2 linked regions of the Drosophila melanogaster genome follow. The protein of the gene in region 2 interacts with the protein of the main gene of each other region in a pairwise test. Each region holds a gene or a part of one and is shown on either strand. Other genes may lie near its edges. The genes, in order: CG8230 and Tbc1d22.

The links.
Region 1: the proteins of Tbc1d22 (region 2) and CG8230 interact in a two-hybrid assay, tested with the Drosophila melanogaster proteins (one large-scale study listed by BioGRID).

What each region holds. Positions count from the first base shown.
Region 1 is NT_033778.4:8,943,645-8,949,138, forward strand, and holds CG8230 (uncharacterized protein), read right to left. Parts: upstream 3,701-5,494; 5' UTR 3,628-3,700; coding exon 3,485-3,627; intron 3,406-3,484; coding exon 2,220-3,405; intron 2,164-2,219; coding exon 1,666-2,163; intron 1,607-1,665; coding exon 1,484-1,606; intron 1,412-1,483; coding exon 1,262-1,411; 3' UTR 654-1,261; downstream 1-653. Other genes in the region: CG33199 (uncharacterized protein), read right to left, coding at 5,109-5,297.
Region 2 is NT_033777.3:21,100,469-21,105,776, forward strand, and holds Tbc1d22 (TBC1 domain family member 22), read left to right. Parts: upstream 1-1,730; 5' UTR 1,731-1,808; coding exon 1,809-2,193; exon of another isoform or gene 2,194-2,254; coding exon 2,255-2,450; intron 2,451-2,953; coding exon 2,954-3,122; intron 3,123-3,175; coding exon 3,176-3,707; intron 3,708-4,117; coding exon 4,118-4,341; intron 4,342-4,413; coding exon 4,414-4,548; 3' UTR 4,549-4,645; downstream 4,646-5,308. Other genes in the region: CG7044 (uncharacterized protein), read right to left, coding at 1-666, 727-910, 981-1,104; Sec15 (secretory 15), read right to left, coding at 4,997-5,308.

The sequences.
Region 1 (5,494 bases), on a different chromosome or scaffold from region 2:
CAAGTCAACGAACCCCAATGTAAGCAGGCAGTAAAAGTCATCTCGTCGTTTTTCCCGCGGCTTTTTAGTCACATATTTAGCCGATGAAGCTGGTGGTGGGAAAAAAACGTAGCAGTAGTAATAAACAATAAACAAGGCAGCCAGCCCATCATCGTTGTTGTTGCAGCCGATAGTGCAAATATGCACAATGAAGTGCAAACAGCGAAGCCCGTATGCGTAGTGGAAATGATAAACGGGAGAAGAGGTGCTTAAGCATTGTTTACCCGGCGTATACGTAATAAAGGAAACTTCATTTGAAGCTTCCGTTTGGCGATATTTCTTTGGCGAAATATAATGAATACCCATTGGGATATGTGGATATTTAGCTTAAAATAAACTGACCAAATACGAACCCAATGAATCTTGAAGTAATATGACTAACCAATACTTCTCAACACTGAATTCTTTCCAAGAAGTGAACTTCGTTTTTAATGATAAATCCATTTCAAAAGACCAACTACTTTTTTCATAAAACACTGCCACGTTCCGATGACGAATTGCAAAGAAGATCTAATCACATTCTTGTTCTGATAAAAACCAACCCAAATAAATTTGGGCTTTCCGCAGATAACACTAAAGGCTGCCATAGACAGAAGAAAAAACACAAGAGCGTTAACTTTAGTTAATATATAGTTTATCGACGTTTTCAATTGCTAAATACAATACAATATATAATTACCATAGACTAAAATGTAAATATATTTTGCATATATTGTATATTCCGATTCTTTAATATGTATATATACTTTTTATTGGATTTGCTGCTTCCCATTGATTAGAACATCGATCTGTAGGCGTACGGAGCTTAACTTCCCTCTAAACATGCTCATTGCAGTCGGCTTGGCAAAATATGATCATGTTTCAAGGTTGCTATATTTTAACTTGAACAACAATTTCCGACCGGATTGCTTGTTAACATACACATTAGTATAAGCGTAGCTATGTCTATGTATTATCGTTAGTTCTCTCGTTTGCTTTGTCTCCTCTTGTCGTCAACGTTCGAGATGCGCATGCCTCTTATTTAGCGCAACATTTCTCTTGCTTTGTTTTGTTTTTGATACTGCATTTCGACATTTTGGGTTGGATCAAAAGGTAGGGCGTGGTATATGGCTTAAAGATCGGGTAATCCCGCACAGAAGACAAACGGAGAAGCATCGAAACATGGTGGAAACCAAAGCGGAGCCGGGTGTGTGCGTGAGAGGAAGGGATAGAGCAGTAAATATTAGCAGGCTATGTCCGTGGTCACGCTCTTGATGCTCTCCGAGCTGAAGTGCACGCAGCCGTACTTGCAGACCAACGTCCACACATATGGAATGAAGAACTCCTCGGGAGCGTCCTCCTCGACGTACTTAAACTTAAGATCCGGGAACTTCTGCAGGATAAACACAAAAAGAATAAGTGAGCCTGCGATTTGAGTGAGTAACTCATCGAGCGGATTACTTACTCTCAGTCGATCGCTGGACCACTGACTGGCACCTTTAGATATAACCTCGAGCACTTCATTGACCCCAAGCTCGCCTCTCTGCTCCTGGACACGCTGCAGACGCGAGGAGAAGAAACCGACAACCTGAAAACGAAGACAGCATGAGACACATCGCATAATCGGATCGGAACTAGTGCGCATACCATGTCTATGTTTTGGATGACATCCTGGAAGGCGTGGTGACTGCGGAAGCCCTCGAAGACGCTGCGCTTGTACAAAAGAGTGTACACCAAGTTGGGACAGTAGACCAACTGGTTTGTGAGGCAGGAGTTTAGGATTTCCAGCACCATGCGCAACACCTCCTCCAGCACGCTCAGATCTTGTAGCATGTCTTCCGGGGTCGTCGAGACGTTCACAAACACTGCGCTATCGGCCGGCTCCTTGAGCTGCGCATCCAGGCGCGTATGCTTCCGAGCGAGCGTTTCGAACAGCGAGACCAGTCGCTGTGCCACGTAAGGGTGTAGAGCGCGGAAGTGGCCGGACATGTTGGCCAGCGCCGCCAGGCAATTGGTGTGCAAGTACTTGTCGCGCATCTTCAGCATGTTGTACTGTATGGTGCGGATGACGATAAGGATTAGGATGCCGCCCAGCGATATCTCCGATATGGTGCGTTCCGTATACCATGTGATGTTTTTTAGCATCTACAGGGATGAGAAAGGATTAGTAATGCAACTATTAGCACGCACAGATGACCTACTATGGTGTGCACATTCTTGTTGAAGCCCTCGTCTTCACTCAGGATCAGCAGCACGATCAAGGACATGTAGATGTGATGTGAGTTGCTATCGGGGGCGTTGTACAGTGTCTGGAGGATGGGGATCACCAACTGCTCCAAGTCCTGTTGCTGCATGACGAACCGGTAGAAGCGCTCGTTGCGATGGAGCAGCAGATAGAGCAGCAGCGTGGCCTGGTCGATGGTAACGATGGTACACAATGTCTCATATACCGCCGAGAAGTCGATCTGGAAGGAGACAGCTCCCTGTTTTGGTGAATCCTTTGAATCGGCGCAACTGAAAAGGCTAGTCCGATAGGCGTTATCCTGTGCCGTGCAGTGGTTAGTCAGTATCAGGATCAGCAACAGGCTCTGGTTGGCCAGTGGGTAGTGGGTACGGAATCGCTGCGAGAGCTCTCCACCGCCGGCTGCTTGGCCCGCTTTCAGTATGTCTGGCTGCTTACGGAACGTGAAGATGGAAAGCAGCGACTCCGCGATGCCAAAGACAAAGGATCCAGCAGAGCTGGACCCAAACATGGTGTGCGGCACCTCCACAATACGCGCCACAAAATGCAGCAGTGCCGACATCAGCACGTTTGCGTGCTGACACTTGAAGACCGTCCGGAACACGATGGACTTGTCCGTGGGCTGTTGGGCAAACAGATGCACTGACAGCAGGGTGATCAGCATGTTAACGGCCTCTAGGTGCAGGTGGTAGGTGAACTCCTTGACGGGAATCACGACGATTAGGTTCACCAGGGCATCGATGAAGGTCTCAAACTTAGATCCGTCCACAATCACTGGAACCGCAGCCGCCGCCGACTGTTCGGTGGCCTCCATGGCAATGGTGGCGCTCTCCGCCGGCGTCTGTTGCTGCTGCTCCAATGCCGCTTGCAGCAGCTCTGCATTCGGCATAGCCTCAAAGTGCTGCAGCAGCTGGAACTCAGAGCCCGTCTCGTTGATGTACTTGACCAGGCTGCGGATGATGAAGAGCGCGTTGAAGGTCTGCCAGACGTGCATGTTGCTTTCCTGGTCCGACAGCGACAGCAGCTCGCTGGTCTTCTCCAGGAACACGGTCACCAGGGAGCCAAAGTTGCCCGTCTTCAGGTTATTGCCGATGAACGACTGGCACAGCGCCTCTAGCCGGCTGTCCAGGTTGAGCTGGTCCTGACTGAAACACACACCATTTCAAACCGCCCGAGATTAGCCCTGCTGACGTTGTTGCTCCACTCCTGTTCCACTCCACTCACCTGTTCTCCGGCAGCACAATGTTGTAGTTGAGCAGCCCGTTCCAGAAGGCCTCGTCATCGTGGGCGATGTGCTGGCGGCCCACGAAGCGCTGGAGCCACTGGTTGGACCCCAGGTCGGCCGTCCTGCTGACGTTGATGCCCATTCCGCAGTCGAAAGAGTGCTGTTGGCCGGCCAATGGTTATATTGGTGGCACGTCACTTGATCATTGAGCGGGGGGGTGAGGTGCTTACCCTTCCAGTGTGACCCTCGCTCAGCGCTGCGGAAATCCGTGCAGCTGTGGTGCCGCCGCTGCGCAATACTTTTGTCACATGTGGCGCAAAATTCAAATGCGGATTTTTGAAGCTGAAACTAAATTTTTTGAACCTTCGGATGTTGAAACACGTTTATGTGCTGTCCATATAAATGTCCTAAAAATGTAATTCAAGACATTAACGCCTCTACAATGAAATGCAATTGCTAAAGCAATTCTTCGGAAACTGTCCTTGGCACTTTATTATTTTAGAAGTGATAAAGAAATTAAAGAATTTTAGGCGAACCATATATTATATATTTTTAGATAATATGTTGGCTTATTAATATTAATATTATTAATAACCACAACATTATTTTTTGGGAATTAAAGTATTTATTTGCATAAACAAGAAAAAAGAAACTATTCAATAGATTGGGGATTTACAGCGAACTTACGGATGGTGGATAAGCTATTTTAACGTAAATATAACTTTTCAAGGGTATAGAGTATCTAGGCCTTGACAGCCGAAAGTTTATGTTATGCTGTTGATTCTTTTAAAGTACTTAGTTTTCACGCAAATCATCAACGAGTCACTAACCCGAGGAACAAATAATTATTTTTTATATTAGACTAGGAACTATAGGAAAATGTTAAAAATGTTTTATTCATAACCTCTAGGTGCTGGCTTAATATTCATATGTGCTTTAGCATGCATGTTTTAACGGAAACTAGAAATAAAAATCAATATTTTCGAATTGAATATAATGCATTTATTTGAATACGGAACTAGAACTAGTTTGTTTCTTGGATACTGACACAGCCTGCTCGGCGATCTGCAGTCCAACGAAGTCATTATTGTTTTATACCTCCCTACTTAGTCGTTTCTCTGGTTTGCAAATAACTTGTAAATAAATATACGTATATAATAGACTTGTTTACACATAAAATAAATATTACTAAAACGGGCAACAAAAGAGTATAGGAAAATTTGGGATTCCCGCAAGCTCAGCGAATCTTCTCCTCCATCGCTCCTTCGTTCAGTTTGTCTGCCGATGGGCTTTTTTCATACACGATTTATCACAAATTTATTCCTTTTAGTTGGCGACGCATGGTGTGCATGTGTAAACAAGAAAATATATCTATATATGCGCACAGATCCTCGCCTCCGATCAGTTAGTTTATCGAACAGAATATTACAAAACAAGCCTCCATGTCCGAGTTCCGCTTGGGTCTGTGGTGAGTGGGTGACTTAACTTAGGCAAATATACACGATGATGGCGGATGATGAAAATATCGAATGTGTGACCTCAGGACATGGCGCTCTGGCTCCTCATCGCCGCTTCAACCGTTGGCGTTGGCATCGCTCTAATCTTTCTGGCTATAGCTCCATTCTAGAGCTTGCGCAGGCCCTGGTGCTTCTGCTTCTTGGCCAGCAGTTGCTTAAGGCTGAACGAGGACAGCGCGATGCCGAAGAGCGCCAGCATGGTGGCAGAGCGGGTCACCACACGGTTGGGCGACGACGAGCTGGTGGTGAAGCCATGGCTGCAGTGCGTCGTGGCCTGTGTGGACAACGTCGGCGCCTGCGGGAGATAAGATAGGGAGACAAATTTAGTTTTTCGCTCGTTTTATATATATCAATCCAAACAAACAATAAACTTGGCCCACTGCCCGACGGCCCCCGCCCACACAGGCAACTACGCAGCAGAAACAATTTACGCCGGCAGTTGGCAACTAGGTTCAAGTGCCCCGGCCGTCCACACGAATGCGATTACCCCAC
Region 2 (5,308 bases):
CCGTCCTTGCGGGTAATAAGGAATTTCATGAGATTAAAGAATGCCAACCCGAACTCGGTGAACTCCTCCGACGGCTCGGTGGCGTTCGGATTCAGCAACTTTTCGTGCAACAGCAGGGCAAAGTTGTAGCTGCTCAGTGTGGTGAAGATCTTCTCAGTAAAGTACGGGTTGTGGGTCATATCGATCAGCTTCCAAACGGTAATCTCGAAGTCGTGATGCTCCTTGAGCAGGATGATCAGAGTGGTGCGCTCCTCGAGCACCAGCGTCTGCTGTAGTATGTAGGACAGTAGATCCAGTGTCGACGAGATCTTGTGCAACATCTCGTTGTCGTCCACCTTGACGTGGATGCGCTCCACGCCGTCGGTGTTCTTATAAAGATTGTCGTGAATCGGCTGCATAATCTCCGACAGAATCTCCAGGGTAACAGCCTTATCGTGCAGCTTGTCGCAGGACTTGTACACCATGTTGTAAAGCACTTGGCGGGCCTCCCGCACCACGTACAGCGTGTGATCGTTGTTGGAATACTGGATGAGCAGCGTCCAGATCCGGTGCATCCGCAGAAAGGCCAGCCCCATGCTATACACGGTGATGGCTTTCATCAGACGTATGCCACCTAACTTAATCGATGGGCTTAAGTTGTGTTCCCTCTGTAGTAGTTTCACTGCTCTAAAATGGTAGTCGATTATTTTAAGAGATTAGAGCCTGGTTTTCTATCCTACCATTTACCTGTTTACTATATCAAGCTCTCTTAGGCGCACGATCATCCACTCGTTGTTCGCCAGAAAACTGGTCAGATTCAGCATGAAGGATATCACCTTCGGGTGGATCTTTTTGAAGTCCTCGGTCACCGCCGTGATGCACCTGTCCACCCATTCCACCACGAATGGGGCCTGCAGCACAAAGGCATTCTCTGCGGACAGATGGGATTCATTTGAGGATTTAAGGGCAGATTGCGGGGCCACTCCGATTGGTAAACTCACCCTTGGCCTGCAAGTGCGTGAGGAGCTTCTCAAAGTAAACATTGTTCGTAGTGGAAAAGTTCTCGCGTAAAAATATGTCGAATATCGTTCGCAGGCGCGACAGCGTCTCTTCTTGCTTTTGCATCTTGCTGTTTCCACACTGACTGCTTAAATGGCGACTGCCCCTTATGGCATAGTTTTGGAGCTTGCAATTGATCCACCGAATAATGAAATCGTTGATTGCGGGTTCTGGTTCTTATCACACCGAAAGACACTTGTTTTGTATTGAGTGGCCGTGTACGTTTGCAGTCGAAATCCAAAGCGCATTCGCCAGGGTTGCCAGGTGAGCGGTCAAAGTCACGCATCGAAACATATAACGGTGCATAGTTTCCCTTTTATTCTTTGCTAATAAGTAATACCATTACTACCATTAATTAAAATTACCTAATTATACTACTTAATATTGCAGAAAGAAGAACTCTGTACAAAACATTTTCGTTATGTTTATACCTCAAAGATTACGGTCTTTATTAAATATTTTTTAATTACATACCTTTTTTCCATATTTCTAAAAGCTTTTGCATAGAAAAATGTCTTGAATTACGAGTTTTCATTTTTAATCATTTATATCTCTTGATCGACTCGTCGGAACTATACTAGGTTCACTCTTCTCCACAAGTAATGGGTATCAATATGGTTCGGTTTCGCACCAGTCACTTGATCACGATACGCTCTCATCACTACCAAGAAGTGTCGTGCGGTGAAAGCCGTAAATAGTTGCCATGGTCACACTGTTTTTGATGCAAAATAATATAATGACGCTGACATAGAATCGGCTCTAGGGAACGTATGATGGATAACAATGTAGAGCAATTAGCAGGAAAGAGCCAAACTGAAACAGCCGAGTCCACAGCAGCAGCAACAGGAACAGCAGGAGCAGGTGTAGCAGTAGTAACCGTGGCAAGTGGAGCCGGACCAACGCCCGGCGCAAACTCCTCGACCTTTTGGAAAAACAGCGGACGTCGAGTGCCCGGACGACCCAGTCCCAAGCGGGAGCTCGAGAAGGCGGCGGCAGTTGGGGTAGCGGTCGGTCGCGGCGCTGCCCCCGGATCTGGCATGGTGTCCACCTTCACCGAGTACCAGAAGTCGGTGAGCGATGCCTGGGACATGGGTGACGACGAGTTCTGCATCATCAGCAGCACGGAGGCGGCTGCCGCGGCCGTTGGAGCTGGCGGTGGGTTCCGCAACCCCGATGGTTTTCCTCAACCTCTGATCTCGTTTTGATCCCCCAACAGATGCGGCTCATTTCTCCCGGCAAGTGTCGCAGACGGTGGCTCTCAACGTGATCGAGACGCACTCTCGAAGCAACCAGAACCATAATGCATCCCGGTCAGCAAACGAAAGTGGCGCAGATTTGGTCCCAGTCAGCAGTAGCTCGACGGACGACTGCAAGGAAGACCGTAGATCTCTGCCGGACAGTAATGAAAACAGGTGAGCGGCGCCAACTCAACTGGGAAGTCAAAAAGAAAGTTGAACCCAATGCCTGCAGTTGTGCAAATAAGTCAGGGGTGTAGAGCGGATCGAACCCGCTTTCTGAATTATTTCCTAGGTGCTATTTAAAAAGCATTAACGTGTTTATTATCAAAGTAGAAACTAAAGATATGAAGAATTCCGTCATATGGGAGTTGAAATACTTACAATAGATTCAAATTTTGAAACGGTACTTTACAATATACAATATACAATATTACTATGTAATTAGGTTAAAATTACCTATATATGTTGTTAATCATTGGGGCGCTCCTAACTTATTATTGCCATTCGCCACGTTTTAACGAGTATTAACACCAACTTGGCAACCGCTCCTGAAGCATTTCACTTTCTTAACTGATAGCCACTCCCAGCTATTCCCACAGAGCAATGTCGGGAGACGCGGAACTAAGACCGAAAGTAATCAAGACTTCAACGGTTAGTAATATATATTGCCATTTCAGATCTAGATTGAGGAACTACCCGGGCAGACCGCAATTGCAGAAGATCAGCTCGAATTGCCAGGACAGCGAGTACGAGACGAAAATTGAAAAATTCCAAGTGGTGCTAGACTCGCCTCAACTGGACTTGGTGGCCCTCAAGAAGATCAGCTGGTCTGGCGTGCCTCGGAAGGTGAGAATCGAACAAATATTTCGTTGTGTAATTCTAATTAAACCGAACTCCAGATGCGCGCTGTCAGCTGGCGACTCCTTTCGAAGTATCTTCCGCCTTCAAGTGAGCGAAGGATGGCGGTGCTAGAGAGCAAGCGGCAGGGCTACCAGGACCTCAGGCACAACTACTTCCGGGTGGATAGCCAGGATGAGACGCAACAGGACACATACCGCCAGATCCACATCGATGTGCCACGAATGAACCCCCAGATTCCGCTCTTCCAGCAGCAGCTTGTCCAGGAGATGTTCGAGCGCATACTCTTTATCTGGGCCATTCGCCATCCTGCCTCCGGCTACGTGCAAGGCATCAACGACCTGGTCACGCCCTTCTTTATCGTCTTTCTACAGGAGGCCTTGACGCCGAATACGGATCTCGAAAAGTACGACATGTCCACGCTGCCCGAGGAGACTCGAAACATTATCGAGGCGGACTCGTTTTGGTGCTTATCTAAGTTTCTCGACTGCATTCAGGATAACTACATCTTTGCCCAGCTGGGCATACAGGAGAAGGTTAACCAACTCAAGGATCTGATACAGCGCATTGACGGTGAGTGGGAATGCTTTACCTTTGCCCGTAGATAGACGCCACATCAAGATTACCTTACAATAAAAGTGATCAAATATAGATAGAGATATGTTAATGCTCTTGTGATAAGATAAATTGGAAGGCAAGCACCATGCCCAATGCCTAAGCAAAGAAAAGCCTCATCAAAGTCAAGCCATTTTGATGTGCCCTGTCAAAGATACCAAGGATGCTTTAAATTTTACATATTTACACACGTTTTTCCAGAAGCCATATGGTGTAAGATAGCTCTTGGTCAATAGGCTATGACACGTATAAACATTTTTAAGATCGCAAATGTTCGGAACAAATAAAAATAATTACTAGATAAGCCAATTGGACATGCAACCTACAATTGCCGAGTGATGATAATAAATTGTAATTTGTGCTTTCAGTGAACTTACATCGTCATCTACAGGCACATGGCGTCGACTACTTGCAATTCTCATTTCGCTGGATGAACAATCTGCTGACACGCGAGCTGCCGCTGCACTGCACCATCCGATTGTGGGACACATATCTCGCAGAGTCTGACGGCTTTGCCCTGTTCCACTTGTACGTGTGCGCGGCATTCCTTCTGCACTGGAAGGAGCAGCTGATGCAACAAAACGATTTCCAGGTGAGTCTCCAGACGAAAAGATCTTCCCTTCCTGCAACGTCTACTAATCATTGCCATCTTGCTATGTGATAGGGCCTCATGTTGCTGCTACAAAATCTGCCAACACACAACTGGTCCGATCGACAAATCAACGTTCTGCTGGCCGAGGCATTCCGCCTGAAGTTCACGTATGCGGATGCGCCCAAGCATTTGGAGACGAAGAGTTGACAAAAGCAACACAAACAACGCATATACGTAACTTAGAAGTTAGTTTATTACGATTTGCGGAATATACCTACACAATACACGTACGCTACATACATCTAATAATTATATACAATTTGTTATTTAGACGTTCCTCTCCGTTTGTTTTCATTCTATGTCGTTTTCGTTTTGTATTTATCAACAATCCGTACGTAGGCAACCGCTAAAGTTCTGCGCTTTTTGTACATAAGAATCAAAAATTCAAAATACAATTTTACACGTTCAACGGGTCGAGCTGTTTCAATTGAAATTTGTCTTTTATAAAAACAAATCGAATCAAATGTAATGAGAACTAAATACTTTTTCCATGTGAAAATTCAAATTAGCCTAAACAATAAAGATGAAAAGCTATAGTTTATGATTACACGAATTCAACAAGGACTTAAAGCGACTAACTACAAGCCTGATATTTCTAATTCTGTCTATCGGCAATGTGCTTAAGCTGCTTGAGCACCGTCTCCAAAAGCTTCTTCTTGTCATTCTTTCGCACCAACGAGAAAATTGGCTTTTTGTCCGCCTCGCGGATCTTTTCCAGTATCACAATAATGGACTGCGGTTGCACCAGATGGTAGCGGTTCTCTTGCTTGCCATAGTCATGGAAATACGTGCTCCATTCCTCTAGAATGAGCAGGTCCAACAGCTGACGGTTACGTAGGAAGTACTTGCTCAGCTCTCCTTCCTTTAGACCAGGCACAGGTTCCGAGGCCGCAAAAAACTCGCACTG